Caenorhabditis elegans: one gene and its partner. The protein of the gene in region 2 interacts with the protein of the main gene of each other region in a pairwise test. Each region holds a gene or a part of one and is shown on either strand. Other genes may lie near its edges. The genes, in order: mei-1 and mei-2.

What was found.
Region 1: the proteins of mei-2 (region 2) and mei-1 interact in binary tests that used the Caenorhabditis elegans proteins (3 or more experiments, as listed by UniProt).

What each region holds. Positions count from the first base shown.
Region 1 is NC_003279.8:8,280,608-8,297,440, forward strand, and holds mei-1 (Meiotic spindle formation protein mei-1), read left to right. Parts: upstream 1-14,266; 5' UTR 14,267-14,274; coding exon 14,275-14,451; intron 14,452-14,501; coding exon 14,502-14,840; intron 14,841-14,886; coding exon 14,887-15,614; intron 15,615-15,933; coding exon 15,934-16,117; 3' UTR 16,118-16,333; downstream 16,334-16,833. Other genes in the region: phaf-1 (PHAF1 protein T01G9.2), read right to left, coding at 5,446-5,521, 5,986-6,047, 6,096-6,169, 6,215-6,327, 6,373-6,476, 6,673-6,847, 7,079-7,206, 7,257-7,397 and 1 more; dma-1 (LRRCT domain-containing protein), read left to right, coding at 1,459-1,662, 1,739-2,570, 2,723-2,907, 3,005-3,133, 3,183-3,290, 3,338-3,691; kin-10 (Casein kinase II subunit beta), read right to left, coding at 8,594-8,744, 9,277-9,466, 9,634-9,825, 9,876-10,032, 10,190-10,207; npp-2 (Nuclear pore complex protein Nup85), read right to left, coding at 10,799-10,870, 10,920-11,550, 11,618-11,751, 11,976-12,305, 12,358-12,893, 12,940-13,033; abts-1 (Anion exchange protein), read right to left, coding at 16,687-16,797. UniProt on the Caenorhabditis elegans protein: Catalytic subunit of a complex which severs microtubules in an ATP-dependent manner. Microtubule severing may promote rapid reorganization of cellular microtubule arrays.
Region 2 is NC_003279.8:6,556,428-6,572,051, forward strand, and holds mei-2 (Meiotic spindle formation protein 2), read right to left. Parts: upstream 9,426-15,624; 5' UTR 9,424-9,425; coding exon 9,311-9,423; intron 9,265-9,310; coding exon 8,978-9,264; intron 8,931-8,977; coding exon 8,778-8,930; intron 8,731-8,777; coding exon 8,441-8,730; 3' UTR 8,322-8,440; downstream 1-8,321. Other genes in the region: tre-1 (Trehalase), read left to right, coding at 264-677, 861-1,164, 1,209-1,499, 1,758-1,904; xpg-1 (XPG (Xeroderma Pigmentosum group G) DNA repair gene homolog), read left to right, coding at 2,273-2,360, 2,495-2,733, 3,196-3,522, 3,578-3,661, 3,919-4,354, 4,402-4,875, 4,926-5,086, 5,133-5,264 and 1 more; tmed-3 (GOLD domain-containing protein), read left to right, coding at 6,280-6,420, 6,473-6,763, 6,929-7,108; bag-1 (BAG family molecular chaperone regulator 1), read right to left, coding at 7,284-7,412, 7,475-7,818, 7,863-8,022; syp-6 (Thyroid receptor-interacting protein 11), read left to right, coding at 9,746-9,804, 9,850-9,923, 9,970-10,095, 10,143-10,531, 10,575-11,060, 11,105-11,249, 11,399-11,761, 11,805-12,107 and 2 more; ipgm-1 (2,3-bisphosphoglycerate-independent phosphoglycerate mutase), read left to right, coding at 13,182-13,233, 13,660-13,797, 13,847-14,001, 14,049-14,154, 14,202-14,349, 14,551-14,677, 14,949-15,383, 15,427-15,624. UniProt on the Caenorhabditis elegans protein: Forms a heterodimeric complex in conjunction with mei-1 which severs microtubules in vitro in an ATP-dependent manner. This activity may promote rapid reorganization of cellular microtubule arrays. May act to target mei-1 within the cell.

The DNA of each region.
Region 1 (16,833 bases), 1.7 Mb from region 2:
GACAACGAATGCGGTGGAATTGGGTTAAAGTTTGCCGACAACCCGGAAAAGATTCAATCTCAAACGGAAATTGAACATTTTGATTAATGAGTTTATAAGCGAAAATGTGTTGGAAGGAGCAATTTGACACTTTCTTTGGGTTTTGGATGCTGACGGGAATATCTTGCAATGAGATTGATTGGGTGTTGACATACAGTTTGAGAGGTCTCTTGCATTAGTCATTGGTCTTTATGATTTACCGAATCGTCGGATAAGAATCAGTATGCGAAATTAAGCATAATTTTATAAGAACGTTTTTCATGAAAATACTTCGTAAAGCTTTTATGACACGGTATGGATATTTACTGTAAAGTACCGTATTCCTCTAATTGAATTTACAGTATTCCCCTCGGTTGACCGGATAAAAAACAGCTCATTATTTGTCCACAGGATCCTTTATTCGATGCCAAGTGTATTCTGTGGTACTCGATATGACGGATGAATTACCACCAAATTTGAACCATATGTCGTCGACAATTCCGATGCTTGTCTTCTCCCACCACTTGTCGTCGTCATCTTCTGCTCAATTATCTTCGCACCATAGTCAATATGAACACTATCCAGAGAAAAGAGTCACCATCACCTTTTATTACCACACACACACACACGGGTACACCAATAAAAGGGCAAGTCGTAAACGAAAAGCGCCTGCCTGCTGACATTTGGTGATGCCCACCCTTTCACATCTGGCATCCTTGACCACTATTACAGGAAGACGTTTGTTTTTTTTCAATGCCCGTTTGAATCACTTTAGAGCATTCTCTATAATTTGGAGCTTTCGTAAAATCACTTTGAAGGGAAAATTGAAGAAATCTAGGGAACAGCCGGGTGCAATCGAGAACGGGGGCGAGTGGAGCTGCACAATTTAACAGAACCTCATGAATATATGATAAGTTCGTGAATGCAATCTCCATCAGAAACCTTAGCATGACGTTGAGATTTTAGGAGCAAAGTTTTGCTTGAGCTCAGATGATAATGATATTACATAGATCTTCACATAGATAAGCTCAACTTCGTCCTTGGAGATGGTTCTGAAATTTTTTAGAACTATTATATTCAGTCAAACACCCTCTTGCTTCCAAGAAAACTCAAGCATCCACCACCCGACGCCAAAAACGCCTGAAGCGGGAATAGATTTTCTTTTAGTGGTGTGATAATTGCCACCCTCTGGTACATGAAAACAACATTAGGTGGTGCTGTCAGGCACACATTGCTTCTTCCTCTTCTATCCGGTCATCCTTCTTCTTCTTCTTCCCATGGGTGGTGTCTCTGTTGACCCTCCTTCGCCTTAAGCCCCGCCCCTTTATCCGCCCGTCCCCTTCGCCTTCTCATGGTGTTTTGCCTCACGTTTGCTGCTTCTAGCTGCTGTGTTGTTTGTCTTCTGGAGAAGTCAAGGATTCTTTGTTCCGAATTGGAACAATGATTTCATACATTTTGCTTTTATTTTTAAGTTTTTTGGTATTATGCTCTATTGCACTACCATCATCATGTCCGAATCTTTGTGAATGCGATCAAAATGACTCGTCTTGGAGTGTTTATTGTCGAAAGGCAATCATAAACGATACGATTTACGCGGAAATTCTAAACCAACTTCCGTTGACTCTTCGATCACTTCATATTCAGGTTAGTAAACGATAAGATCTAAAACCACAACGTCCGTCCGTCAATCTAATCCCTTCATTTACATAAATTGTTTTAGCCGCCCTCAAATCGCATTGGTTCTAACAAACTTCGATGGAATGACAACATAAACCGTTTTGCACAGCTTCGAGTTCTTCGTCTCATCAATTGTCAGATTCCAGCAATGTCCCGATCCATTCGACTGCCATCTTTGGAAGTATTAGATCTACACTCAAACAATATTGAGCATGCGACAATGAGCAACTTTGGTGGTATGCCAAAACTTCGAGTATTGGATTTATCATCGAATCATTTGAATATTCTTCCAACTGGAGTATTCACATATCTTAGAGCCCTGCGATCATTGTCTCTATCCAATAATACTATCAGTGATCTTTCTACAAATTTACTTCGAGGTCTCAATTCTCTTCGAGTTCTACGACTAGACCGGAATCCTATTCCAATTGAACACATCAATGAGTTATTCACAGATGTTTCCCAATTGGATGAATTATATTTGAATCATTGCAATCTTTCATCAATTTATTCTCTGGCTCTTGATCGTATTCCTCAACTCCGTCAACTTGGAATCGGAGGAAATAATCTCAAAATGGTTCCAACTAAAGAACTGAGATCTCTTCCTCAACTTTCTGTTCTCGACTTGTCTCACAATTCCATTCAAGAAATCACAGCCTGTGCATTTTGCAATACGAATATCTCAAAATTGGATCTTTCCCACAATTTGCTCGGAATTTCGAAAGACTCTCCGTTTAACGAGGATGCGTTCCGAACGATGCCATTACGTCATCTGGATTTGTCATTCAATCATATGAATGATTTTGACTCAAAATGGTTGGGATGGGCACAAGAAGAGCTGACTTCGATTGCATTGTCAGGAAATTTCTTGAAAAGTGAGTTTTTGTAGCAAAAGTTAAAATAACCCCAAAACTAGATTTTTAAAACTTTTTAGATTGTTTTTAATTTAAAAGTTTTTCCGATTTTTAAATTTGAAGAACGGTTTTTCAAAGTTACTAGAGATGGCATAATTAATTTGTAATTTTAGATTTCGAGGAGTCATGGACCTATACATTGAAGTCGTTGATTCATCTCGAACTGGCCTACAACCACATCAAATTCATCCCGGTACAGCTGCCGTCTCGCTATTACCACCTGATTTCATTGAACATTTCCGGAAATGAATTGACTTATTTGCCTGACAATATCAACACTTTGCTTCCAAATGTGAAAGTATGTCCATTTTCTATACGAAATTCGAAGCGTTTGTGGACCCCCTTATATGGGGACACGCATGTCATTTGAAACCTGCTCACTGAGATTTCTTTAGACTTTCGACATCACAGCCAACCGATTCCACACCTTCTCGCATACAGATTTGGCATTCCTAAATAATGTTGAACAAGTGTACGTAGATGGAAATCCTTGGGATTGTTCATGTGCTATTCAAGGACTTCAAGTGAGTCTTTTCCTCTCTTATTTCTGAATTAATTCGAACATCTTTTCAGGTTCATATGCGAGATCGTTATGCGATGAGACACATTCTCAACTACGATAATGTCCGATGCGCGACACCATCGCTTGTGGAAGGTCATTCAGTTCTGGCAATTACCGACGTAAGATTCACATTCACGTTATTAATTTCACTATTTAAAAACTTCAGGTAAACGACTGTGCCGTTTTGTTTGGTGCACGGTATGGATTAACGCAAACAAGTGAAATGCTCATACTTCTCGCAGGAGTTCTCCTTTTTGCCGCACTACTTCTTATGATTCTTGGATGCATCTATTTCCTTCGTGAGCGACAGTACAAAGGATCATATGTGACACGAGAACACTCTCGAACTCCACTCACGATGGCAAACACACATAGTTGCTCTTCGAGTACAAATGATACACATGGTCCATTATCACCACCATTTGATCCATTCTTGGTTAGTACTGAAACATTTAAAGCCACTCCTCCATTGATTCCACCAGCACCTCCAAAACCTGGATCATCCTATTTTGGCATTTAAATATCCTTTTGAGAGTTTCAAATGTTTCAAAAATCTAAATCCGTGTGATTATTTGCATCCATCTAGTCGTTCGATCTCCCAGCCCCATTTTCATGTATTTTTGCCCCCTTTTTCGATACGGTGTTCAATTGTTTAACCCTTTGTCTGTAAATAAAATAAACTGCTCGTAGATATACCAAGTTCAATGAAATAGACAGGAGCCTTAATCAGCAGCATAATAGTAGTTTTCAAGAGGTAAGACACCTCTTCTCGGCCGTAAATCCGTCGGCAAAGAAGTAATAAATCGGCGAGGCTGTTGTCTTTACGCCCTGGTTCTCTGTGGGGGTCAACTCATTTGTCAAATGCACACCAAGACAAATGCATAATTGAGAAGGTTTCGAGAAGGAGAGTTGACTTTTTCGTTTAAAAAAACTCCGCGGGAAAATCTCCGTAGCCACAAAATTTTGACGTTTATGAATTGAAAATTGGTTGTTCGACAGGGACTCGTTAATTTATGAGTTTATGAGCCATTCGAATAATAAATTGATGTGCGTATGTATGTGCACACGCGCGCGAATTCGTGGATGTAGATTGCACAATCTGTTATGACACGTCGTCTCATCCGTTAGATTCCCAAGTGACACCCAAAACAATTGGAGTAAGCCAATGCCAATTAAGTTGGATAGATGACCACGAAGAACAAGACATAACTATGAAAAATGACGGATCGGTGTTCGTCGCACAAGTACACATGTAAACATCCGTCTCTTTCGATAATTACCACTATTCTATGCTTTTGAACAGTCAATAAAATTGTATACTTTCAGTTTGAGTATACAATTTTGTGATCGAATTTCTCTACGATTCAATAAACAAAAGCATCAATCTTCTGGAAGTCAACCAAAGCTTCTTGGATCAAAAAGAAGTAGTCTTGTTGAAACTACAAAAGCTAATTTCCAAGACTTGCCATCGTATGTTCGCGCGTGGTTTTAAATTAATTGACATCTTTCTTGTATAAATATTCTTTATATGGCAGCACATCTGCCTCATATTCAAAATTCCGGGGGAATTTGTTAATGAAGATTTAATATATCGACGACAAATTCAAAACCCAAAACCTTTGGTATAGATCCATTGTGGGTAGAAGCCTACTGTTGGTGTCCATAAACGGCGAATCACCTGTGTAAGGATCGTGAGCGTCGGTAAAAGTTTTCTATGAGCTAAAAAGACTACAATTTCAGGAAACCATGACGCAGGAAATTTTCAATCATACAAAAGCTTTCATCATTGACCATAGCTGTGTTTTCTTTGAAATTCTGATCCATCTTCCGACAAAAAATGAATTGACACCTTCTTTGTCCTCTCATTCAGTTTCTTTACTGCTTGATGAAATAAACTGTGCGGTGTCAAAAAACGAAGGTCATTAGTGTGTAGTAGTAATTCAGTCGTCTTCTTGTTAAATGTAGCAGATGAAAATTCGTACAAGTGTCACAAACGAAGAGTCTCTCTCTCTCTCTCTCTCTCTCTACAGAGTCGTAAATCTTTCCGGACGCCATGGACATGCAAGAGGGAGCCACCACTACGATTACCCAGATTATTATCATATGCGGAAGAAAGATTTGTCTACAATAGCCATTGCGTGTGCATTAGCGATCCCTTTCCCGGATATGTTCAATTACAAGGGATTGGAACATTAACTTCGACTCATTGACAGACAAAATATAGTACCCAATAGCAAGAATTGCTACAGTAATCTAAATCCCTAAAAACCTTACCAATCCCATTACAAAGTAGTTGAAGAAGAAATTTGGTGGTCCATAGAGTGTCTCCTTGTGAAGTCCACGATGAATTCTGGAAATTTTCAATATTCAGATGAAGCGGAAATTTTGATAAAGCTAGAAACTGTTAATGGTTAAATTTTAAAAACTTCAGTTTTCGAGAAATTTTAGGCGTTCCTGAATTTTTAAATATTTTTTTAATGAAATTTTCTGAAATCTTTTAACTTTTTTTTTCAAAATTTATCCTTTTTAAATATTAGTTGGAAAGTTGTTAAATAAATTTCAGGCATTTTGAAAAAAAAGAACTTTTTTCACAATTTTTTAATTTATTCATTGGATATTGCTGAATATCAACAAAATGCTATATGAATTATTTTTAATTGATATAAAACGCTTACATTGAAACCCTTCAACTTTTTTTAAGAAAATTTTTCTTCAAAAATTGTTTAAATTTTCAGTGGAAAATTCAACATCTATTGAAAATAAATCTAAATTTGTGAGAAAAGAATTTGAATTTTCAAGAGAACGAGAACGTACTTCATCTTGTCATCGGACTTGTAGAAGACCTTTGTCGGGGCTCCAAGAATCGATTGCACATCCTAAAATTTAAATTTTTAGAACAAATTTTTTTGATTGAGAAAACCAACCGAAACAGAGTCTCCAAAATAGATTTGTCGTGTGTACGTGGATACATCATACTCTCCATCGACAATTCTTCCGTCTGCAAATATTCACTTTTTTTAATAATTTCAAAAAATTCCAGTACTTTGAGTATCAAATTGAATATCAATTCCAACAATATTCCCATTTTCCCAAATTGCTTCGACTTTTCTCGTCCGATTTTGACCACAATAACACGAGAATGGAGTATCCACGGATCTTCAAATTTTGAGAAATAAATAGAAATAAATAATAAATTCTCACTCTGGCTCAGATGGATTTGGTCCACGATAAATGGACATCTTGGTAAGTTTTGGTTGAGAGTTGGCATCATATTTCAGCGAACGAAGATTTCCACCAAATCCAGGCTGAAATTGAAGAATGTTTGAAATTTCGGTTTTTGGGAGATATAAAAAACTTTTTGGAAATTAAAGGTGAAGTAGCGGCTGTAGGTTAGAAAAAACTCTTTTAATTTTTTACTATATTCGGTATCGTATTTTTGATTCGAAAAAACCCACAGACGGTACTCCAACTTTAATACCCAAAAAGATCAAACTACAGTACCCTGACTTCCAAATTCGAATTTTCTCCTCCATATGGGAAACAGAAAGATAATCCCGGCCAACTTTGCACATAGATATTGTGCTTATCATCATATGATCCTGGATGTGTCGATCCAAAAAATTCGTTGACCCGATCCAACGTCGCCATGTTATTTGGATCAGAGAAGATTGTATCGCTGAAAATTTTTATGAAGAAATTGTATGACTATCTTGGCAATTGAAATTGATTTTTTTTCTTTGATAGTTTCACAATGACCCGAAACGACCGAATTCAACAGAGAGAATTTTCAATTTTCAGATTTTATGCAAGGCTGAAATTTTTCGAATTTTCAAAACGCCATAATTTGTTTTAAATTCAATAGTTTTAAACGAGCTTCTGTAGTTTTTTTTTTTTGATGGTATCATACTTATAAGTAAGTGTAATCATTGAAAGATTATCCACTTCAATTAGCTTGATAAGCTGTGAAAGGCCATCAAAATAGAGACGAATTCCTGTAGAACCGATATAGATGATGATATCCTGGTAGAATGGATCCTGAATTTAATTTAACTTTATTTAAAAGTATAATTAGTTAATTTCTATACCTTTTTACTGTACTTCAATTCGACTTTTGTAAGCATTCTTGGATGTTGCTGAATCATTGCAATACATTGATTGATTGGCATACCAAGCACAAATTCGAATTGTGAACTTTTTAGACCAACATCTGGTACAACCTTGAATTTCTTTGGAAAATATTTATTATTGATTTTTTGACTTTAAAACAAACCGTGAAGCTCAGATCTTCTTCAGTTGATGGTTTCTTTGTGACTTGCTGTTTTCCATTCATTTTCGATGATTCAAAGCTGTAAAAGCTTTTATTTAATTTTTGAAGAGTTGGAGAAAAAACAAAGAAGAATTTTTAAACTATGATTCACAAGAAAAATATATATTAAAATTGAGAACTGATATTTACTTGGTATATTCTTTTCTAAATTTTTTTTCCGCCAATAGTACGGTACCCGGTCTGGGCGCGACGATTGTTTTCTGAAAACAAATGGGTCTGCGCCTTTAAGAAGTACTGTTATTTTAAACGTTCATTGCTACTGAATTTTTATCGACTTTTCATACTTTTTCCCACGATTTGTAAAAATTTTGTGTCGTTTTCTTTTATTATTTTTTTTAACAAATACATTTTTACCGAAAAACACTGAAAATCGATAAAAATTTTGCAGCAACGATAGTTTGATATTACAGTACTCTATAAAGGTACACGTCCGTTTTTATTTTACAAAAAAGGCGTATCGAGACCGGGGTATCGCCTTTTCCTCGCAAAATTTCACGTTTATGCAATATAATTTAAAAATATATTGGAATTAATGTGAAAAGCTGTTCAAAAGTTTTTTCTTCAGGTAAAATATGGAGCGTTTTCAAAAATTGTAATTTTGAAATATTTCAAAATAAGCAGAAATCAATGTGCTAATCGTTAACCAAATCAACTGGAGATATTAAAACCGTTCAAATAGTAAATAAAAAAGAAAAGAAACACATGACGTCGATGGCAGAATCGAAGGCTGTGACTGAGAGACTGCAGTAGAGCGCACTTTCCCGCCCAGCTGTTTCCGCGTGACGAAGACAGGCACAAATAAATAACGTTGCACTTTTTACACAGAAAATTAGGAACACTCTTTTTGAGATGTATGGGATCTACCGTTTCATTCATTTCTTAAATTCGCATAATGTTGGAATAGAACAGATTTAGAAAAGAAGAGAAACACGCATGGAAGAACCGCCGGATTCTTGAGTTTTGTCGGAAAAGAAAATTTTGGGGAGAAGAAAAAACGAAACAATGAAGAAAATAAGGATGTTGTGTTGAGAGGGGGGACATTCTGAATGGAAACTGGAAAGAAGAAATCAAAACAAAAATAAGGAAGAAAGTGGCTCAGAGACCATAATTATTGAATTGTCCTCCAGATTGTTGCCCGGCTGGAGTCGTGTTGTTTTGTGCTGCGGCAACGTTATTCGCCGTATTTCCGCCGCTGTTTCCCTCCTGTCCTCCATAAGCAACAGGATGAATTTTGAAACCGTAGAGTCTGAAAATTTTGATATTTAAAAATTTACACATAACATAATTATTATTGTACTAAGTTCTGCTAAATTTTTAAAGTGGATAAAATATTATTGTTTGATCTTCTAATTTCTAAAATTATTTCGAATCTAATTTAGTACAGCCAACTTATTTCGGCAATAGAGTAAATCTTCTAATTTCAGTCTACCAAGTCAACTTTTTGAATTAAAAATGATTTTAGAAATGTGTCAAAATATTTTATTGATTCGAAATTGCAACTTATTCTTGTTGAAATATTTGAAAAAAGATCTCAAATAGAGCCTGAAAGTTGCCGAATGCCGAAAAAATAACCTTCAGACACTAGTCGTTTTGAATTTTCCAACATTATTAAGTTGTGTTTTCGAATCAAGCAAATATTTTACTTCATTTTTTATTCAAAAAGTTTAATTGGTATACTGAAATGAAAAGATTTACTCGATTGCCGAGATTTTAAAGATTTTTTAAATTAGAATTTCGGATTTTCAAATATTTAGCTTAATATATATCCTCTGACATACTTTGGAACGAATTGAGTGACTGGTCTGCGTGGACGCAGATCAGGATGAACAAAGAAGAGCATATGTGGGAATCCGGTGCCAAAATAGCTTCCATCAGTATGTTGATGACGTGATGATCGTGGAACGAAAACATCATTGCAACGTGGACAGTACAATTTCACCATAGCCTCGCCAGGAACATCAGACAATCCTGGAAAAATTGGAATTTTACAGAAATTTTAGTGTAAAAACAAATATTTGTTTTAAATTTTATTGGAAATGCACTTTTAAATTAGGAAAATTTAGTACTTTATAGTTTCACTTTTCTCAAAAAAAATTATCCGCAACCAATGAAGTAGCGATTTTTTTATAACTCACCAATTGGAAGCATTGGCTGATTTTCACAGTAGACACGTGGGCAAACTCCAAAGTCATGATCACGCCACTTTTCGACCATCTGTGAGATTCCTCTATTCGTAAGAATATATCTAGCGTGAATGAGTCCATAAAGCATTTCAGCGGCTTGTTCAACAAGATCAGTGTTCGTTGCGTTATCCTCTATGTCATCTTCTAGAAAAAGGTTACATTGCGGGGGCACATGAAGTCAGCAAAAATATCACCTGGTTCTAAGTCAAGAATCATGTCAAGAGCCTGTCGATACTTGGGCACTTGCTCATTGAGACCTGTCAAATTGAACCGATCCTGAATATATTCCTCGTCGACTTCACAGAAAAACTCATTTCCACGAAGGCCACAGAACCATGTGATCCATGATACCTGAACAAAAAAAAAGATTCGAAACTAAAAATAAATTTCACCAATCGACCATAAAACTTGTTATTAAATTCATAGTTTAAAATATAAATCATTAAAAAAAACGGCTATTTAGATTTTTCTGATTGTTTTCCGCAGAAAATAGAAATATAATACAAACCTCCTCCGAACTACTCATGACTTCTGATCCAGACAAACTAGCGCTTTGTTCTGACTGCGAACCAGACTCTGCCTGTAATCAAAAGAAATTTTTTTTTGATAATATTTTAATGATAACTCACCGAAGTGGAATCGAGTTGGCGCCAGCGAGCAGAAGCCGTGGCGTTCACGTCGATGACTGGCCGAGTTGCGCGCAAAGCACACAACTGCCTGAAATTATGGGTACAGGTTGGGTGAAATGGTTCAGAATTATTGAAAAAAGCAGAAGAAAATCAATAGATCACAGTCATGTGCGCCCACATAAATTCATAAACTCCAGCAGTTTTCTGTCGAAACAGAAAAAAGAGGACGAGGGAGCTGACGAGGCCTTGTGGACGTGCAATGGGGCACGGTTGCATAGCACATAGGTCACTATCGATCTCTGGGGAAAACTCGAAAAGAAGGTAGGTTGGCCTCGAAATTCAACGAGTTTGTGTGGAAAACCAAGTAATAGTAAAAAAATTAAGAGATGTGATCCTTATTCACATACAAAAAATTAAATTTTCTGAGATCCCAGAACAAAAAAGAACATCGGCAAATGTAAATAAAATAAAATTAATTCATAAATTATTCAAGAGCACGCAATTCCTTTCGCAATCGAGTCTGTCAACTTGAGCATTACCATCTTTTTGAGCACTTTCACCTGTAACAATTTATAATTATATGATCATAAAAATGTCTATAAAACTTACCTTTTTCATATAATTATCATTCAAATCTCGATGTTTATCAAGCGTAAACGTTGACAAAAAGGTTGAGAGCTCATAGAGAATCTCCTTGGAAAATCGGATTCCAGCACGCCCATCCTCTTTGATAATCGTGATTAAATAATCGAAGAGATCATAGTAATACTGAGTTGGAACATCAGGCATCATAATAAGCGGTATCAGATGTTGAACACAGTCCAGTACATCACCACAGTGCATCATCTTCACAAATCGTTGATAAGAGTAGAGGAAGGTAAGAGATGGAAGTGAGAGTACAGAATGATTGGTTATTGAAGATAAAACTCTTAATGCAGCCAATTCATCCTTCGAACTTGAACCAACAATTCGAGATACTGTCCAGTCAATTGTCTTTTTGGATCCAGTTTTCAACGCCCAAGCGAGTGTTGAACTCCAATGTCCTTGCTTCAGATACCGGAAAGTCATTGTATTTGTCACACAACTTTTCGCGTCTTCCAGTCGATGCTCTTCACATATTTCCAGCAACTGCTCAGCCATCTCATCATCCTCAATGTGAAGCCCTTCGATGTGTGTTTCGAGACGTAGAAGTCCTTCGGTACCACACGCAATAAGATATCCGGCTCCGATTTCCCACAGACTATAAAAAATTTGTGAAGTTATATTTTAAAATGTTTTTTCAGTAATTAGAAATTTCAAAAACTAACGGAGAATGAGAGATAAGAACACTGGCGTAGTCCAACATGTGCATTTTCCTCATCACTTCAAACTCGGGATCCAATGTGGATTTGTGAATAAGATCAACCAGGTGAACTGCGAGCCAGGGATTCGAGGCAATCAACTGAAATTTTATTCAGTAAAATTAATTAATTCTTATTTAAAACAATCTAGAATTTATTTTGAAGAAAATTGTTAAATATTCTTGAACATTATTTTGATTTTTTTTTATTGGGATAAAATTGAATGAAATGTTCTGTCGCCGTTTAATTAATCGTGAAAGAAATAGTGAGCCTATTTTCAAGAGATATTTATATTTAATTTAATTTCTTGAATAAAAACAAGAACCTGTTGAAAGTTAATATCATCCTTCGAAATAAGACACCAGAATACATCATTTTCCTTTGCACCCTCCTCTTCCTCTTCTCCAACGAATAGTGTTCTACACTCATCAGCTAGCTCAATGAGCTCGACATGTCCGGCGAATGGATTCTTGACAAGCACAAAGAATGGCAGAAAATGCCACCACGTGTCGAAAATCCGTGAAGCCATAGATACGAGGTATCGTTCCTCACCGAGTAGGAGCTTCGTAAGATATTTGAAATTTTCGTTGCTCCCGTACTTCCCACTTGTCAAATTTTCACGCATGATATCCTTCCATTCATTTACTGTGTTAGCCTGAAATAAGAATATTACGAAGTTTAAGAATTATTATATAAATGGGTCTTACTAATGCTTCGTCGACTAAGTTTTCGGGATTGAAGAATGTGAGAGCCTCAATGAATGCATCACATTCTGATCCGCCTCCATGTAGCTCCAACAGTTCAACACAATCGCTGAAATTGCAACTAAGCAAGCTGACTGCTACTCCCTTCCAATATTCTTCTGGAATCGTCTTCCCCGGATGCAGATATTCCACAGCTGATTCCATGGCTCCTCTAGAAAACGTGAAGCTCTGATTGGCCCATGAAATAAGATCCGCACATATCGAGCTATCACCTCTTCCAAACCATAATTTCTCGTAAAGTGACCACAAAGCAAAGTCTGTCATGAAGTCGGAACTGCTGTGAGACACGGCGGCATTGTAGAGAACTGAACGATAAGCTCGAGAGAATGTGCAGCAAGTAGGCGTGTCTAGAGGTGCATCAGGTGAGGAGCCTTTTTGACATTTATCAAATACAGAATACATTTCGATAACAAGTCGTCTGAGATTTGGTGTCGCAAGAATTTGTCGATTTTGTGAAACTTTCTCGACCAAGACTGTTTCTGAAAAATCTCTTATGTTGGAAACTGAAGAAGATGCAATTTTTACCTTTATTTGAAAATCCTTTTTTATCTGTTAGGAAGGCGAAGACCGTGGAGGAGTCGCTGACAGCTATCCCGAATTCTCGAGCGACATCCGTCATCTGAAAGAGATACTAATGTCATGTGAAGTGGTATTAAAAATATAGTAAGCACGGTAGAAACATTAACTTATAAAATTGAGATTTCTGATAAATAAAATTTTTCCGGGAGTTCTGTAAAACTTCTTACGGTTTTAACTTGATAATTCCATAGGGTTTAAAATTTCCTTTTGTTTCTTGAGTTTCTTCTCGGAATTTGAACAAAAATAACGCGTTTAATCTCGAATCAGTACAATGATGGACTACACGGCAGTTTTAAAAAACCAATTAATAATAATAATCCTAAAAAATGAGAAGAATATTTAAGAAAATGTAAAAGTTTTCCGCGGAATTCCGCTAAAATTCGAAAATTGAAAGTGTTCAAATTGCAAGCGATTGTGCATTCAGACGTGACAGTGTCTGGGGTGTATTGCGTACTCGACATTTTAACTGACGACACTTGTACTTTTGCGCCATACTTCCGGAGCTCCAGCTCCGCGGAGCCCTGAGCAATTATTTTTTTACTTTTTATGAAAAGCTTTCTATAGATATCTTTTAAGAAGTTACACTATAATTGTGCAAATCAAACTGGCTCCGGACAACACAAATTTCGTCTATACCTTTATGATCTTTTTTTGTTAAACAAGTGAAACAATTATTTCCTTTTCAAACTGCTCTTGTTTCTTCTCTTTATTAATCAATTTTTTTTTTTTTGCTTTGTGTAAATTAATTGTTTGTCGCGGATGAGCTAATTCTGAGGTTTGACCAGCAGAAATCTGTTTTCTGAAAAATCAATAACTCGCCGCTTAATTTTGGTTTTATTCAAGTGATATGCAATTAGAAGGTTCTAATCATTTATATCTCGCTGAAAGATCTCAGATTTCAAGCCTTTTGCTAAGGATTTAATTCCTAAAACTTTTTTTGACCTATCATTTTTTGTGTGATCTACCGCTGTAAATACTTGTTGTTTTGCGGCTAAACTCTTTCAATGTTTCCAACAAGTGAGCCAATATCAAGTAAAAAAAGAAAAATCGTTTTCTATTCAACCATTTTATTCTGTAAATAATATTAAATTCATCTTCACGGTACAATCTTCTTCTCCCATCTAATAAAGTCCACGCACACTCCGTTCCGTCGTTTCCCTATTCGTTATCATTCATCATCTTGCCATTTTCTTCTCCGCCAAATCCCATTGTCTTATACTAAATTTCATCCTCTCGTCTGTAGAAGTGTATATTATTGAAAAATTAAAGTATATTTTCAGGATGAATGGGGATGTGCAGTCAGTCATTCGCGGATATCTGGAGCGAGCCCAAGTCGCGAAAACAATGTCCGATGCCGGACGATGGAATGAGGCTGGTGATCTTCTTCGTCAGCTCATGACAGATGTCAAAAGCTGTAAAATTTCGGCAAGCAACAGAGACGAGCATGACGCAAGAAATGTACGTAATATAAATCTTTTAAAAGCTTGTTGAATTATTTGAAATTTCAGACATTCCTACGAGCCCTAGAGGCTAATTTGAAGCTTGTCCAACAAAATGTGCGCGATGAAGATGACCTACACGAGGCGATGACGCGACAAAGTGGAAGTCCAGAGCCACCTGCAGACCCAGATGTTTGGTCCAAACCATCGCCACCGTTACCATCCTCATCGAAATTTGGAGCAACAAAGAAAGGAGTTGGAGCAGCAGGTCCACGTCCCAGAGAAATATCAAAGTCAACGTCGTCGATGAGCACGAATCCGGCTGATGTGAAGCCTGCGAATCCAACACAAGGAATACTGCCTCAAAATAGTGCTGGAGATTCATTCGATGCATCGGCTTATGATGCGGTAAGTTATTATGTTTTCCAGAAACAAAAATCAGAAATCTTTTCAGTACATTGTTCAAGCGGTGCGTGGTACAATGGCTACAAATACGGAAAATACAATGTCTTTAGATGATATAATCGGAATGCACGACGTGAAGCAAGTTCTGCACGAAGCCGTCACTCTTCCACTCTTGGTGCCAGAATTCTTCCAGGGTCTCCGTTCACCATGGAAAGCAATGGTTCTCGCTGGACCACCTGGAACTGGAAAGACTCTTATCGCACGTGCGATTGCTTCAGAGTCTAGTTCAACTTTTTTTACCGTTTCCTCGACTGATCTGTCCAGCAAGTGGCGTGGTGATTCCGAGAAGATTGTTCGTCTGTTATTCGAACTTGCACGGTTCTATGCTCCATCCATAATCTTCATCGATGAGATTGACACACTTGGTGGACAACGTGGAAATTCTGGAGAACACGAAGCGAGTCGGCGTGTTAAATCCGAGTTTCTGGTACAAATGGACGGGTCACAGAATAAATTCGATTCGCGACGTGTATTCGTGCTGGCCGCCACAAATATTCCATGGGAGCTCGATGAGGCACTCCGAAGACGTTTCGAAAAGCGAATCTTCATTCCACTGCCAGATATAGATGCAAGAAAGAAGCTTATCGAAAAATCAATGGAAGGAACTCCGAAATCCGATGAAATTAACTATGATGACTTGGCGGCAAGGACTGAAGGATTCTCAGGAGCTGATGTTGTGTCTCTATGCAGAACTGCTGCTATCAATGTGTTGAGAAGGTAGGTAGCAGGAATGTGCAGAAAATCTTTTTGGAAAACGTGCTTGTTTCAATAAGATAATCCAATATTTCGAATCAAAAACTGGTATAGAAATGGCAACTTTCATGCACTATTTAATGTTTTTAAACGCTTGTAGACAAAATTAAATAACATTTTAAGATGAAATGAACCGTTTTTATAAATTTCGATATCAATTTAAGATTGAAAAGTTGGATTATCATAATTAAAAAAAAGCCAATTTTGTACGTTTGCTGAAAAAATTTTGCTAATCGCGATGTTGCAACACTTTTTTCAAGAATCGACACTAAGAATCCTTAAGATATTTCAGATACGACACCAAATCATTGCGAGGCGGGGAACTGACAGCTGCAATGGAATCACTGAAAGCCGAACTCGTGAGGAACATTGACTTTGAAGCAGCTCTTCAAGCAGTTTCACCAAGTGCTGGTCCAGATACAATGCTCAAATGCAAAGAATGGTGTGACTCTTTTGGTGCCATGTAAATCAACTATTTATTGTGATCTCCTTTTAGTTTAAAATATTGTGGCCTAGCTTTGGTTTTTGAAACTCTGAAACATTGTACAGATAAAATTTTCAAGGCCACCTTCATCCAAACATCTCTCCCCGATTCACTCTTTCCTGTAAAATACTTATTGGTTAAATTTGTATGTAAAATGAATCATTTTGCCACTCACTGGATTATTTGGAAATATATAAAAGTTCATTTGTGAAAGAAATATAAGAAAAGAAGACAGTGAAAAAAAACGATACAGGAAAGAAAATAAACATCGATTAGAAAAGAAACTGAATAAAAAACCGCCCTTATGAAGGGTAACTATTAGTGGATAAGTGTTTAGGAAATTTCATGTGTGAATTTTAATTGTCTAAAAGGTTAACATTTTGGAAGAAGAAAGATCAAAAAAAAAAGAAAGCAAATTTTGTGGAACACGATTCTCTTACGGGGGATAACAAACGGAATTATGACGGTGGACTGTAAGGAAAAATTGAGAAAGATCTGTGATGGGCTGGACCACGATAAGAGGAAGTGGGGAAGGCTTTCAAATTAGAAAAATTAGACTTTTGGTTCATCTGGATTAGTTTTTGGTGGTTCCTCATCCTTCAAAAGTGGAGTATTTTCAGTTGTTAAATTCGATGTCGAAGTGTGTGGAGACGGACGAATTACCTGAAAAACAGATCGTTCAGATATTTTACTAAGTTT
Region 2 (15,624 bases):
CAAATATCGATGGAAATTAGACAATTTTTTATATTTGGGAATTTATTATGGAAGCGAAAATGTAGGTGAAACACCATAAATATTTGAAAGAAATGAGAAATTAAAAAAAAAAGAATTGAATAAAAATCAAGGCGCTAGTTTTTTTGGTGCAAAAAAGGAGGATAGATAACTGTTCGAATGTTTATTCTTTCAGTGGTAAAATGATCTACTGAATTGGCCACTAGAATAAAGTTCTCCAATTTGATAATAAAGATTAATTTCAGTCACGGTTTCGTACCAAATGGAGGTCGTGTCTATTATCTAACACGTTCCCAACCACCTCTATTGACACCGATGGTCTACGAATATTACATGAGCACAGGAGATTTGGATTTTGTAATGGAAATTCTTCCAACCCTTGACAAAGAATACGAGTTTTGGATTAAAAATCGACAGGAATGGTTCAAAGACAAAGATGGTGTCAAGCAGTTTCCATATTATCAATATAAGGCTAAACTCAAAGTACCGAGACCAGAATCATATCGTGAGGATTCGGAATTAGCAGAGCATCTGCAAACTGAAGCGGAGAAAATTCAAATGTGGAGTGAGATAGCGTCGGCTGCCGAGACGGGATGGGATTTCTCCACTCGATGGTTTTCTCAAAATGGAGATACAATGCATCGAATGGATTCTATAAGGTATCGAGGGTGTTGGTTTTTTGGTTAAAAAAAAATCTTTTTTTGTTAATTTTCTATACTTTTTTTTCCGATTTTTTGGTTTTCTGGATTAATCGAAAAAGAAAACAGAGAATTTCTGTGACATGCTGTCTTTACAAATTCAAAAATTACAGTTCCGAGGTTTTAATTCTAAATCAAATTCAGAACGTGGAGCATTATCCCAGCCGATTTAAACGCTTTCATGTGTGCAAATGCTCGAATTCTGGCGAGTCTTTATGAAATTGCTGGTGATTTCAAAAAAGTGAAAGTATTTGAACAACGATACACTTGGGCAAAACGGGAAATGCGTGAATTACATTGGAATGAAACAGATGGTATTTGGTATGATTATGATATCGAATTGAAAACTCATTCAAATCAATATTATGTATCAAATGCTGTTCCTTTGTATGCAAAATGTTATGATGATGATGATGATATTCCACATCGTGTTCATGATTATTTAGAGGTTAGTGTCACTCTAAAAAAAACGTATATATTGGGAATTTTCAGCGCCAAGGACTATTGAAATACACAAAAGGTCTTCCAACATCTCTTGCAATGAGTAGTACGCAGCAATGGGATAAGGAAAACGCATGGCCTCCAATGATTCATATGGTTATCGAAGGATTCCGTACAACTGGTGACATAAAACTGATGAAAGTTGCTGAAAAGATGGCAACGTCATGGCTTACTGGAACATATCAGTCATTTATCAGAACTCATGCTATGTTTGAAAAGTATAATGTTACTCCACATACTGAAGAAACTTCTGGAGGAGGTGGAGGAGAATATGAAGTTCAAGTGAGTATTTAAAGATGTAATTCCGAAATTCCACAAATGGAAAAAAAAATAATCAGAAAAATTGAAAAGTTTTTTTTCAAAAAGCGATTTCTCAATTTTGACTGAATTTTTGTTTGTTTTTTTCAAAAGTTAGATGATTCTTCTTTTTTTCTTTTCGTATTCCTAAATTTTGAACTATTCTGGATATTTTCAAGCAAAATCCCACTGAGAAAATAATGTAAATTAACAGAAAAAATTGGAAAAAAAAATCATTTCCAGACTGGCTTTGGTTGGACAAATGGCGTTATTTTGGATTTATTGGACAAATACGGAGATCAATTTGCATCCAGCTCTACAGCTTCCAAATTCAGTTTTTCCCTTTCGAATATCACATTTGTAGTTTTTATTTTGTATATTTTCTCATAGATTCCTGTAGAATTTGCACCTGATTTTATTATTTTCTGTTGTGTATAGTCCAGTTCCCTCATTTAGATCTTTTTTAACTAAAGAATCAAAAACATTGCCATAGCGATTGCCTTAATTTTTTTGTTTTAAATATCAAACTCACATTTTGCTTTTTCTCATCCGGTCCAACCCCCCATTTTCAGATTATAACGATTGTTTTCTTTCGGGTTCTTTTTTTCCTTATTTTCAAAAAACCTTTTTTAGTTCATAAAATTTTTACTTATACCAGTTCCTTATACCAGTATATATTGGTTTTTATGTCACGCAATTCTAATGTAATATATTTGATTTATCATCAAATTTCCCAATTATAGAAATTAATTCAAGATATGGGAATCACTGGATTATGGAAAATTGTAGAACCAACGGCAACAGAGATTCCTTTGGAATGTTTAGAAGGAAAAAAATTGGCAATTGGTAAGCTAAAAAACAAATTCAAAACTATGTAAAATTGTTTTATTTCGTATATTTAAGTTTTCATGTATTGGGGTACTGTACTTTTCACTTTTATTCTGACATTACATGTTTTGTAATTTTTATCATTTTTTCAGATGTTTCAATTTGGATCTATCAGGCTCAACTCGCATATCCATCGGATCAACCGTTTCCACATCTGCGTCTCCTTGTAAATCGTCTCTCTAAACTTTTATTCTACAAAATTCGTCCTGTTTTCGTGTTTGATGGACCACAAGTACCACCTCTCAAACGTCAAGTCTTAGAAGCGAGACGGCAAAAAAGACAGAATGATGATGATATTCTTAAGAATTCGAAGAAAATGGGAAAATTAAAGGTGCTGAAAAAATCTCAAAAAATTAGGGTAAAATTAATTTATTTAGAACTTCATGAATTTTTCAGACAGCGAAAAAATAACAAAATTTTTCCATCAAAAACATGACGAAAAACAACGAAAAAGCTCTGTTCATGAAGCAAGAATACGGCGCACGGTCTCGAAACAACCGAAAATTTTCTTTGAAAAATACTCCGAAAATGGTTATGCGCCTTTAAGTAGTACTGTAGCTCCCGTTTCCTATTTTTTGCAATTAAATTTTTGGTTGTTAAAAGACAAACTAGATTTTTTTTGTTTTTTAAAAGAGCAAAAAAATGAGCACACTCTTCACGATCTTCATTAAAATATATCGATTCGTTTCAAGACCCGGCTCTATATTCTCGCATCAATTTTTTTGAAGTTTTTAACTGTTTAAAAAGTTTTAAATTATTTCCAAATTCTTTTGTTAAACCAATCAATTTTCAGGAAATTGCCAGTGGTGGTCTTGATGACGTGGCACTTGCGAATGCAATCAAAGAAGTTATAAGTCCATCGAAAAAAGTAATTCTGAACGACATTTATAAGGATATTCCCTCAACAAGCACATATTTGGATAAACCTTCTGCACATCAAAATGATCAGCTTGTTTATGGAAATATTGAAGATTCAGATTCAGATGATAGTGATATTATTATTGTACCTACTGTAAAAGAAGAACGAATTTCGAAACAATTTACTTCTCGGAAACTGGAAATTCAAAGTCTCGTGGAAAAAAGAGAGATCATGAGAAATAGCAGATTACGGCCTGATATGGTTGGATTTTATCTTTTAAAAAAGTGTTTTTACAATAAGCTAAAACGATTTTCAGATTCCACAAGATTCGAAAAGTTTCAGCAATTTTCAAATGCAGCGTCTACTCAGAAGAGGTCGTCTGAATGCAGAAATTGAACAAGTAACTTTATTGAATTACATAATTTGCTACTTATAAAAATGTATAAACTGAAGTCATAATCCGTTCAATTTTCTTTGATTTTTCCACATTTTTAAGAAGTTTTTTTATTTATGAAGAAAAAAACTCTGAAACACATTAAAACTTTAGAAAAAAACATTTTTTAAAAGTGGGTTACTGTAGTTCTTGAAGCGGATATTTACGGTTTCCGAAAAGTTTTTAGTGAAAAATCGCTTTAAATCCACATTCTATAATTTCAGTTAGCCAAGTCTACAACAACCTCCACAGGTGGATACTCTTCTGATAAAATCAACGTAACTGGACCAGATGGAACTTCTCACATTTTAAAATATGCACATAGTGATGAGATTCAAGAAGTTCGCCCAGAATTAAAACGAGATATCGATAGTCTTTATCAAGAACCTTTATCAATGACACTTGACTTTTTCAATGTAGAATATGGTGGAAAGAAATTAAGCAGAGAAGTGACACCTGATGATGTACGAGAAGAGATTGTTGACAGATTAGAGGAACGTTTAATTGACAAGAAAGAAAGAGGATATCAGAGTAAATCGGGAATGTTGGAAGCAATTGCGAGAAAAAGAATTCGACAACATTATGGTACTGAAACTGTAGAAGATAAGAAAGAGGAAGAAAAAAGAAAAAAGGAACAGAGAATAGAAGATGATATGATTGGTAAAACATTTAAAATATAAACAAAACTTGTTTTATTATTTTTTTAGAAGTCAGCGACGATGAGATGGTTCTTCAAGAAGTTCTACTTGAAACAGCTGCAAAATCATTGGATAAGAGAATGGCTAGCTTGGAGAAACACAAGGTTCCAAGTGAAGATGAGGAGATTGAATGGGATCCTCAACGATACGATAAGCCATCAACATCTTCTGCTCCTGCTCTCATGGAAGATTATATTCATTTGAACTATAGTGATGAGGATGATAAGACGCCTGAATTATATCGTGATCTTCAAGAATTTCTTACAAATGCAGGCATTCCGTGGATCGAATCGCCTGGTGAAGCGGAAGCTCAATGTGTTGAGCTGGAGAGACTTGGATTAGTTGATGGTGTCGTTAGTGATGATAGTGATGTGTGGGCGTTTGGAGCACAACATGTATATCGTCATATGTTTTCTAAGAATCGGAGAGTACAACGATATGGAGAGCAGACAACAGCGAATAGAGATAATTGCAAACTTTTTTGTAAGATTTATGGCAAACATTAGAATATTTCCTGAATTCTAAAAATCTAGGTCTCCAACGTGAGGACTACATTTCAATTGCTCTGCTCTCTGGGGGTGATTATTGTGCAGGACTTGTAAAAGTTGGAGCCATTGGTGCACTTGAACTGGTGTCCGAGTATGTTGAATGTAGGATTGATAATACAAATGATCTTAAAGTCATTGAGAACAGGGTAAGATAATTACACATGTGATGGAGTCCCTTATGAAAAGTTTCAGATCATGAGGCTCCTTAAAAACGTGGAAAGTTTGTTCTTAACTGCTCCGGATGATAAACGAGTTGCTAGTCGAAATGCAATGATGTTGAGAAGACATGTAACTGAAGCAAACGATATGGAGAATATCAAATGTGTACTTATTTTTAGATTTTTGAAAACAAAACAACATACTGAAACTCATGTTTCTCTTAAATTCCTAATAGTTCAATTCAATTTCAGGTGTGCTCTAATCAAGACGCTGTGCATGCCTACCTTCATCCCATCGTTGATTCATCATCAGAAAAACTTCGATGGCGCCAGATGAATATTCCATTGATCCGTCGAATTCTTCATCAACGCCTTCAATGGCCTGATCGCAAACAGCACAACGAAGAGCAGAATTCATTTGACGCTTTCGAAAAATGGAATAATTTTCTAAAATCCGGTGGACAAAGCCAAATGCGATTAGACCGATTTTTCGCACAGAAATTGGATAGTTCTCTCGAACTAAAATGGTCGAAAAAAATTGTCGAGGCGCTGGACAAAATTGGACAACGTGTAGCGGGAACTATGAAAAACAATGAAATGTCAAAAGAAAAGAAAGTTGATAAACAAATCAAGAAGAGCAAAACAGCTGTGAAACGTGTAACTCGTGCCAGAGGAATAGGTCGCGGGAAAGGAGGAGCACTTCTTGTACCAGCTAATAGTAAACTGAATCTATCTGAGGAAAGCAGTTCTAATGATTCTTTTGATGAATTTTAGTTTTTAGCTAATTTATCTATTGAAAATAAATAAAAATGTTGCATTTTACACCAATTTCTTTTATTACGTTGAAGTTATTCTGTCAATTTGTGAATATTTTATTGATATTAATATTTAATACAAAATAATGAATTTAGCCTTCTCTTACAATTGAGCACAAAATGTGCAATGTTCTAATGTGTTCTATTTTATGTTCTATTTATAATATATTTATTGTATAATTAAATATAAATATTGTGCGCTGCAAGTGCGCCCCTTTGAACTAGTGTTCTGTTGGCATTTTCCATGCGTCGAATTTCTCTCCTTTTCACGTTTTCTCTCTATTAATAGAATAATTATAATTTTGTATTGCTTCTTATCCAATTCGAATAAATTTGTAAAAATATTTCAACTTTTCAGCCAAGATCATGCTCAAATTTGTCATAGTTTCATCAATTCTTGTGGCCCTAGGTCTGTCAATCGAATTGACATTCGAACTTCCAGACAACGCAAATCAGTGTTTTTATGAAGATCTGAAAAAGGATGTTGACACAGTGTTTGAATTCCAAGTTAGTATTTCAATTGAAAATCGTAGAAACTGTAATAATTTGATAATTTCAGGTTGTTACTGGAGGCCATTATGACGTAGACTTGATCATTGAGGATCCAAATGGAAAAGTTTTGTATAAAGATACTAAAAAGCAGTACGACAGTATCAACTTCAAGGCCGAAGTTGAAGGAACATACAAAGCATGCTTTTCAAATGAATTCTCCACATTCTCTCATAAAATCGTTTACATGGATTGGCAATTCGGTGATCAAAATGCTCTTCATGCTGCCGTTACTCAAGGAGCTCATGCAATGACTCAATTAGAAAATTATGCAGTCGCTATTGGAGATAAATTGAGAACAGTAAGATTTTTATTTAAAAAGATTTATTTTTACAATTAGAAAATGCTCAAAACGTAACTTTTTCGAATTTTATGAATTCGTTCATTTTTCCAACTCTATTTTGCTGGGAGCTTACTAAAAAAGTTGTTCACCCGACATTTGACATACTTATAAACTTTTTTGTAGATTGATGACTATCAAACTCATCATCGTCTCCGTGAAGCAACTGGTCGCAAACGTGCAGAAGAACTCAACGAGCGCGTGATGATCTGGTCCCTTGGTCAATCTGCCGTCGTAGTATTCATTGGAATTGGCCAAGTTTTCCTGCTCAAATCATTTTTCAATGATAAAAGAACTCGTTATTAATTTTTTCACACCATTGCTCTTTTTTTTGTAATTAGCAGCCTTCTCATTTTAATGGGTCCCGTCAGTTGTTTTGCCCCTTTTCCTCCCTTTGATACATAGCATAAGAATATAATTTATTGATTTATAACTGAGTTTCATAACATAAAAACCCGAAGCAATTTTATGCAATTGAGAATTATTCAGGAATGTCTCCGTTGAGAACTGACTGATATTCCTGGAGTCTCCGAAGAAGTGCGTCATTTTGATTAAGAAGAGTTTGGATTCCGTTTACGAGCGTCTTGCGTTTTTCACGGTTTCGCTTAGCCTGAAAGTTGATTGAACTGAATCGAAAACTTATTCAAAGTACAAAATAAAATTATGACACACCTGATTTTCGGGAGTAGTTTCAGTGATAATATTCATCCCATCAAGAGTTTCCAGATGTCTTTCCGCCTCTTCGTTGAAATATTTCACTTTCTTTTCCAGCTTTTTCCCCATCTCGACCTGCTTTGGTTTTTCGAGAAAACCACGTTCCAAATCAGCGACATCTCTCAAATTGAGATCATAGGCTTTTTGAAGATTGCTCAAATTATGCTTCTCATATTGCATGAGCATTTTGAAGCCCGCGTCATCAACCAAAGCATTTTTTCCACCCATCACAATGATTTTATCATTTTCTTTAAAATTTAAAGTAGAAAGGGAGACATCGTCGGCGCCTTGAAGAAACTTTCCTGTAAAATACTTTGTCTCATTATTCCAAAAAATCAGAAACAACCTCTGTGCAACAACTTCATGGTTTCAACATCAACATCATTGTCGGTGGCGATTCGATCGCGTAGCTGCCCAAGTGTCAAAATAGATTCGTCTTCTCCTTGATTTTCCTCAAGAATGTCGATTGTAGTTTGAACGGATGAACACGACACATTCACCTTCATTTCTGAAAATTGATTTTGAGACAGTTTTAGCAGTGGGAGAAGCCTCCGAGTGTCGATAAATAAGAAATTGGAACAAAATTATTGTTAACTTATTAGAAAATTAAGAAACTTCTAGAAATGACGAGAAGCTTATGCGAAAATCAGTTCCTCCACGAGGTGTACACATCGATTGCAATGGGGCGCACTCGCTCAGAGACTTCAGAGAAAAACGATTCCATAGACAATGAATCACCGTTTTCGTACGATACTGTGAGGGACATTAAATTAGCCCATTTTTGTTTTTAAGTCACAATACGAGAGCACATGATAGTTTTTATATTGGACATGTAAGAAACACAATGTATGAGCAATAAAATAAACAGTGAGTTGGGTGATAACCATCGGTTGAATAATAAGTATGCAATTATTTACAAGAAAATTACTTATGGCTGGAAACTTTTTTCAATCGCTCGAGAATGGCATCGAGTTTGTAAATTGTCTCCTGGTCAATCTGTTTGTAGATTTTGTCCCGATTTTTAACTATTTTGCGAAAATTGTGAATGCACTCTGTTGCTTTTGCAGCTCGCTCTTCAGCTACCACATCGACTCCAATTCGCCGAGTTTTGGTGGATGCAAATCCGATGATTGTGTCCAGTAAACTGTTGGTAATTGATGCAAGAGCCTTCAAGCAAGCCGATCGCTTCCCATAATTGTCGCTCGTGATATTTTCTGAATTACAAAACATTAGAATAAATTTATCAGGAAGCAAAACCAACCCATGATAAATGTTAAACAAGCATGGCACGAGTTGAGACACCAAGAGTTTCTACTATTCAGAATTCTAATGACTGTGGGAGCGAGTTGGTTGTCGTTTGACAATATCTGTTCCATGTTACTTGTGAAACTCTTCATCTTATAAACACGAAGATCTGAAAAGAAAACATAAACTGAAAAATCAAAACTCTGCAAATCCTACTTCTGCTCTCTCGCTTCGCACAAACACCGATTTTATTCACTTCCTCGGTGCATGCGGACCACAACGACGCGTTTGATGACATGACTGACACGGATGATTCTGGGGAGGATTTTGGCAAAGAACTGCTATGTTCTTCACCTCTCGAAACCGGGTTCCGAGACAATTCCTTCTTCGACTCGGAATGCAATGGACGTCTTGAGCGAGTATTTGTGAACTCGGGCAGATCGGCTTTCACAGTTCGAGAACTCCCGATGAAAGTGATGGGAACGTCCTTTTCCGCACCGCGTCTGAAAAAAATATAATCGCTTCAGATACTTTTTTCGTAGAACTCACCGACTCGAAGTAGATCTTGTATTTGGTCTGTTTTCAGCGGATTTCGGAATGTCGTTGAGAGGCTTCCTATTTTTTGCATGTGTTAGTTTTTTCCGGTCGTCAAGCCCTGACATCTGAAAAATTTCAAAATTTCAAATTTAAGAAGAGACAAACATTTTATAATTGGAAAAAAACACAAGATATCAAAATTAGACGAAAGAAAGGAACTAGTAAACAAGAAAAAACCGTTTTCCCGCATAAAAGAAATTCCCGCGTAATTCTTTGAAGTACTATCGTACCCCGCATGAGCGCTGCGGGACCCGAATAACATCTCATATGCGCCTTTAAAGTTTTTAATATAAAGCTGGATTTTTTAATCCTAAGTATTTACTTTTGCCTCATTCCAATGAATTCTTGAAACGATATATTTAATATTTAATTTAGTTCTTATAGTAAATGGCTCCAGTACTTGGTTTGTTGGAAAATGAAGCGAAAGTCAAGTCGATCATCAGAAAGTAAGTCACCAAAAAAAGAAACAGTTTATATTAATTTAATTTCAGCAATAACCTACTCGAAAAAAAGTTTTCGAGCTTTCAAAGACAGTGTAGAGACCTATCAAGAAACCATGCACTCCGTAGGCGATTTTCGTTCTTGGTTGCAAACGAATTACATTTTTTCAGTCGATTCGTGTTGTTCACAAGTCAAACATTCGGCAACAGCCGCAGAAGAAATGTCAGTCAGCGATAAAGATGTGAAAAATCACCAGAAGAAACTTCATTCATTTTTGGCACAGTCTACTGATCAAGGTATCATTTTCCTTTTAACTTTTAATATTTTAGTTTTCGTGTTTCAGTTAACTCCACGATTGATAAAATGGATTTTTTCTGTTCCAAGGGCAATCACTCTCTTCCGATGGAAATGTCAGTGCTTTCGATCACACTTCCATATGAAGCGTGTATTGAAAAATCTGCAAAAAAACACGAAACTATGGTTTTTTCCATTGATGAAGTTTCGAGTGCTGTTCAGCACCTGGAAAATGAAAAAGTCGATGTGGAAAAGCGTCAATCTTCAACAGGCAAACTTATATTTCAAACTGAAAAAGAAATTATGAAGCTAAAAGAAGAGATTCAAGTAAATACAAATCTCGAGTCAAATATTATTCAATTGTCTCTGGAGAAGCTTTCTTCAGTCAAAGACTCTTCTACGAGTGAAAATGTTTATAAAGCGAAACTGGAAGAGGAGGTATTTCTGTTTCATAAAAAAGGATGTAAAATTTATAATTTAGATAAACGAAGCCAGGCAAATATATGAAGACGCATTGAAACAGGATGTGATCAGCCAAGAATCAGCTATGATGACCCAGCAACTAGAATCTCTTAATGAGTTGTGCTCTGACCTCAGTGATCTTAACAAAATTAATCTTACATCTATCGAAAAGTTTCCTGATTGCAATGAGGTATGCGAGCTCTCCGATGAACTGCAAACTCTTGAAAAGTCTGAAGCTGAAAACTCAGAAAGTATAATAAATCTCGAGGCGTCGTTGGAAGATATTAAATATCAGAACAAGAAAGTCCGTAAGAGTTTTGATCAAATAAACCAATTGGAAAACGCATATATCGTTAAAAAAGAGGTTCTGACTCGGAAGAAATCTGCTATCGAGGACGTCAAGCGACAAATTGCTGAAAGCAAAATCACATTAAATAAATTGAAAGTGACTGTCCGTGCTGTGGAACGATCTGACACCCCAGAGAATGTGGAATCAAAGAAAGAAGTATTTATTCATTCAAATTCAGTATATTACAAGTCTTGTTTCAGGAGGCTTTTCGGCGTCTCGTGGCATCTAGCACTGAACTTCCCGGACCAGAGTCATTCCAGCGTGACAATGTTCGAAATGTGGAGAAATCATTGCGTTTTAAGAAGTGGAACCAAAGAACCACGTCGCAGTCGTCGTTCACTTCAGGTAAGATGTTTAATTGTTTTTATACCAATTTGATTACAACCACATGTTTACTTTTTTGAATAACAAAATACGACGCTTTCAAAGAAGTTTGCAAAGTTTTTTTAATAGACTTTGTGTCAAAGAAGAAATAAATTTATAATTATTTATAGTTTTAGATTCAACACGATCTATTGGACCGATTGGTGTGCATTATCCAGGGATAAAACTTATCAACAAAGACGCTGCAACGCCCACTGAAGTTATTCGGAAGATTACATCGGAGCTAAATGAATCTGCTACTTCTGAAGATTCAACATTCGATGACGATACAGGCACAACACAGGATGAGTCTGGATTGAATGCATTCTTTAATTCTCCGGTTAGCAAAGAACAAACTTCAATGCGTCCACAGTTTTCAATGATTGCTCATATGGAGAAGTATGATACAATGCAGGCCAAGAAAAACATGGATAAATTGCCTGATAATGTTCGCCGAGAAAGCGAAATGGAACACATTTCCCATAATTACGGCCGTAATAATAATTTTTACAGTACGAAAAATTCTGATTACTTCAGGTCCCTCTGAAGTTAACCGCCCGGCGAGTGTTTCATCTAAACGCCACGATCCGGCTGCAAGTATATCGGCAACATCGGAAGAGTCGATCCTATCTGGAACCACTCAGGATGAATCTATGCTCAATGATTTCTTCAATCCAACAGGCACCGACGAAAAACTTAACGACGTTGAGTTTTCCATGACTGCGCATGTGGCAGAATTCGATAACAGACAAAAAGCAAAAAGAGCTGCAGAGCAAATTAAGAAGAGTTCTTCAAAAATATCTGGCAAAAAAGAGGAATCAGTTGCAGATGATAAAAGTGGTTCTTGAATTCTGAATAAGCTTGACAATTTGCAACTATTTTCAGGCTCTGGCAACAGCTACGTAGCTGAAAGTGAAGCTGGCTTCTCACAAGGATCTGAGGAAAACGAATCCATGGATGATGAGGTTTGTGTCTCTTAATGGAATATTCATGAAACATTTATTGTTTTCAGGATTTGGTTGCTCCAGATGATGGCGGTCTAGATCAAACGATTTGGGATGGTGACGACTAAAACTTTCTACATTCTAATTTAATTCATACTTTTTTGTGTTCCTCTTATACGGAATTTTCGCGTAATCTTGTACTATTCCATCATGTTCCTATTGTTTGTGATCTGTTATAAGTTATAAATCATTGTTCTTTAATATTTCAATATTATTGCTGTCACTGTCAAAATGCTAATTAAATTTATCTTTAAAAATCAATTTAAATGTTTAAGTCCTGTAAATATTTATTAAACCGTCGAATTTCAGGAAAAATAACTGTTATAAAATTTATTTTACATGTTAACATGCATGTTAGAAAAGAAGAATTTTACATGTCAACATGCATGTTAGAAAAGAAGAGTACTTGAGAAATTACAAAAGTTTGTATGTATTTACTTGTTTCAATAGTTTTCATTTGTCTGTGGTCGTTGTCTCGCTGAAAAAGACGGGCGGTGCGAGAAAAAGGGTTTTATTTGGACACTAAACTCAATAAAGATACACTTTTTTGATTTCGCTCGCTAAAACTTTTCAATTTCAATACTTCACTTTTGCATCATTTTTCGTGCAGCTCTCTGCGTCTCCGCTTTCAAACACTTCTATTTTGGGTCAATTCTGTTTTTTTTCTTGTTCAGTTTCGAATCAATAGTTTAGCGCGGCTCCAAACATCTAGAAAATCCTTCAAGAAGAGAGCACGAGAAATTGAGAATTTCTTGAGAAATGAGAGAAATGTTAGAGATACGTGATAGAAGAGTTGTTTACGTGCAAAAATCTCACACAGAAAACGTTTCTCAATTTTATTCTCATTTCTTTCAACATTTCAATAAGTCAATGAAATAGTGCTTGACAGAAGAGACGGAGAGAAATAGAGATGTTCGTAGCCCTGGGCGCTCAAATTTATCGGCAATATTTCGGACGACGCGGTGAGCGGTTTTTGGATTCTTGTTGTTCTCTTTTTTAATTTTTTTCTCACTGGTTATATTTTAAATTTCTCGAAACAAAATTGATCGATGATCAAACTTCTTATTTGATAACGAATCAACAGTTTTGATTTAATTCCATTTTTCATAATCTCGTCATTTTGTTTTGCCTTTTTTTTAATTGTCCTTTTTTCTTTCTAATACCTATTTTTATATTAATTGATTGCTAATGTTTTAATTTTAATGGAGGTTACATTTAAAAGTTTTGCTCCGAATATATTTGAAAGAAATTCCTTCACAAGCATCATCTAGTATTTTTATTCTTTTTATATTTTGTGCGAGAAATCACAATCCCCCTATAACAGCTAATAGTTTTCGCCTTTAAACTCAAAAATTTTTCAATTTGCATCATATTCCGATATTTTTCAGGAATGGCGATGGCAAATAACAGTTCGGTGGCCAATAAGGTCTGTCTCATCGTTATTGATGGATGGGGAGTTTCTGAAGATCCTTACGGTAACGCTATTCTCAACGCACAGACACCAGTTATGGACAAGCTGTGTTCGGGTAAGATTTTATTTATTTCAAAATTGTTAACCCAAGAACATTTTTCCAGGCAATTGGGCTCAAATTGAGGCACATGGTCTTCATGTTGGTCTCCCAGAAGGATTGATGGGAAATTCGGAAGTCGGACATTTGAACATCGGAGCCGGACGTGTTATCTATCAAGACATTGTTCGTATTAATCTGGCAGTCAAGAACAACAAATTTGTATGCTTCCAATATTATTTCAGAATATTATATTTCGTAAATTTTAGGTGACTAATGAGAGCTTGGTGGATGCTTGCGATCGTGCTAAAAACGGAAATGGACGTCTTCATCTGGCCGGACTTGTTTCTGACGGAGGTGTTCATTCTCATATTGGTAATATTCATTTATTTATTTTCAATTTATGATTTTTCTCATTTCAGATCACATGTTTGCTTTGGTTAAGGCCATCAAAGAGCTCGGAGTTCCAGAACTTTACCTTCATTTCTACGGAGATGGTCGTGATACTTCTCCAAACAGTGGAGTTGGATTCCTTGAACAAACCCTCGAGTTCTTGGAGAAAACTACTGGGTTAGAATAATGTGATAATTTATGGGGTTATTCAAGTAGTGTCGGAAAATTAAAAAGTGTAGAAAAATTACGCCACAACTGTATTCAAGTATATAAAAACATGTATTTAAATACATTTGTGACGTCACAAATATATTTAAATACATTTCGCTACATTACTTGAATAACCCCATTAGGAAACATGTTTAAAAATATTTTCAGATATGGAAAACTAGCTACTGTAGTTGGCCGCTACTATGCTATGGATCGCGATAACAGATGGGAGCGTATCAATGTTGCATACGAGGCAATGATTGGAGGTGTTGGAGAGACTTCCGATGAGGCTGGGGTATGATTTTAGCGTATAAACTGATTAACAATTCAAAAGACGAAGAATGAACAGTTTTGGATTTCGTTTAATTATAATTTTCTAGGTATCAAAAATCATTTACTAAATATAAAGTAGTTTTCTTCCGTACAATGTATGATATACCAAGATGCAAACTTTTCACTTTAAATCAACAAAAATTCAAATTCATTTCAATTAAAAATGTTTCCGAGAGAAATTCGAATTCTAATTTCAGCAAGTTTAAATAATATCTAAAATTATCATTTTCCAGGTTGTTGAAGTTGTTCGCAAGCGTTACGCTGCTGATGAAACAGACGAATTCTTGAAGCCAATCATTCTTCAAGGAGAGAAAGGACGTGTTCAAAATGACGATACAATCATCTTCTTCGACTACCGTGCTGATCGTATGCGTGAGATTTCTGCAGCAATGGGAATGGATCGTTACAAGGATTGCAATTCGAAGTTAGCTCATCCATCAAATCTTCAAGTATATGGAATGACTCAATACAAAGCCGAGTTCCCATTCAAATCGCTGTTCCCGCCAGCATCGAACAAAAATGTATTGGCTGAGTGGCTCGCCGAGCAAAAAGTTTCGCAATTTCATTGTGCGGAAACCGAAAAATACGCTCACGTTACATTTTTCTTCAATGGAGGACTTGAAAAACAATTTGAGGGAGAAGAAAGGTGTTTAGTGCCCAGTCCAAAGGTAATACTTTGATGATATAACTTCGAAAATTGAATATTTCCAGGTCGCAACTTACGATCTTCAACCAGAAATGTCTGCGGCCGGCGTTGCTGACAAAATGATTGAACAACTCGAGGCTGGAACTCATCCATTCATTATGTGCAACTTTGCTCCACCAGATATGGTCGGGCATACGGGAGTCTATGAAGCTGCTGTCAAGGCCTGTGAAGCTACTGATATCGCAATCGGAAGAATCTATGAA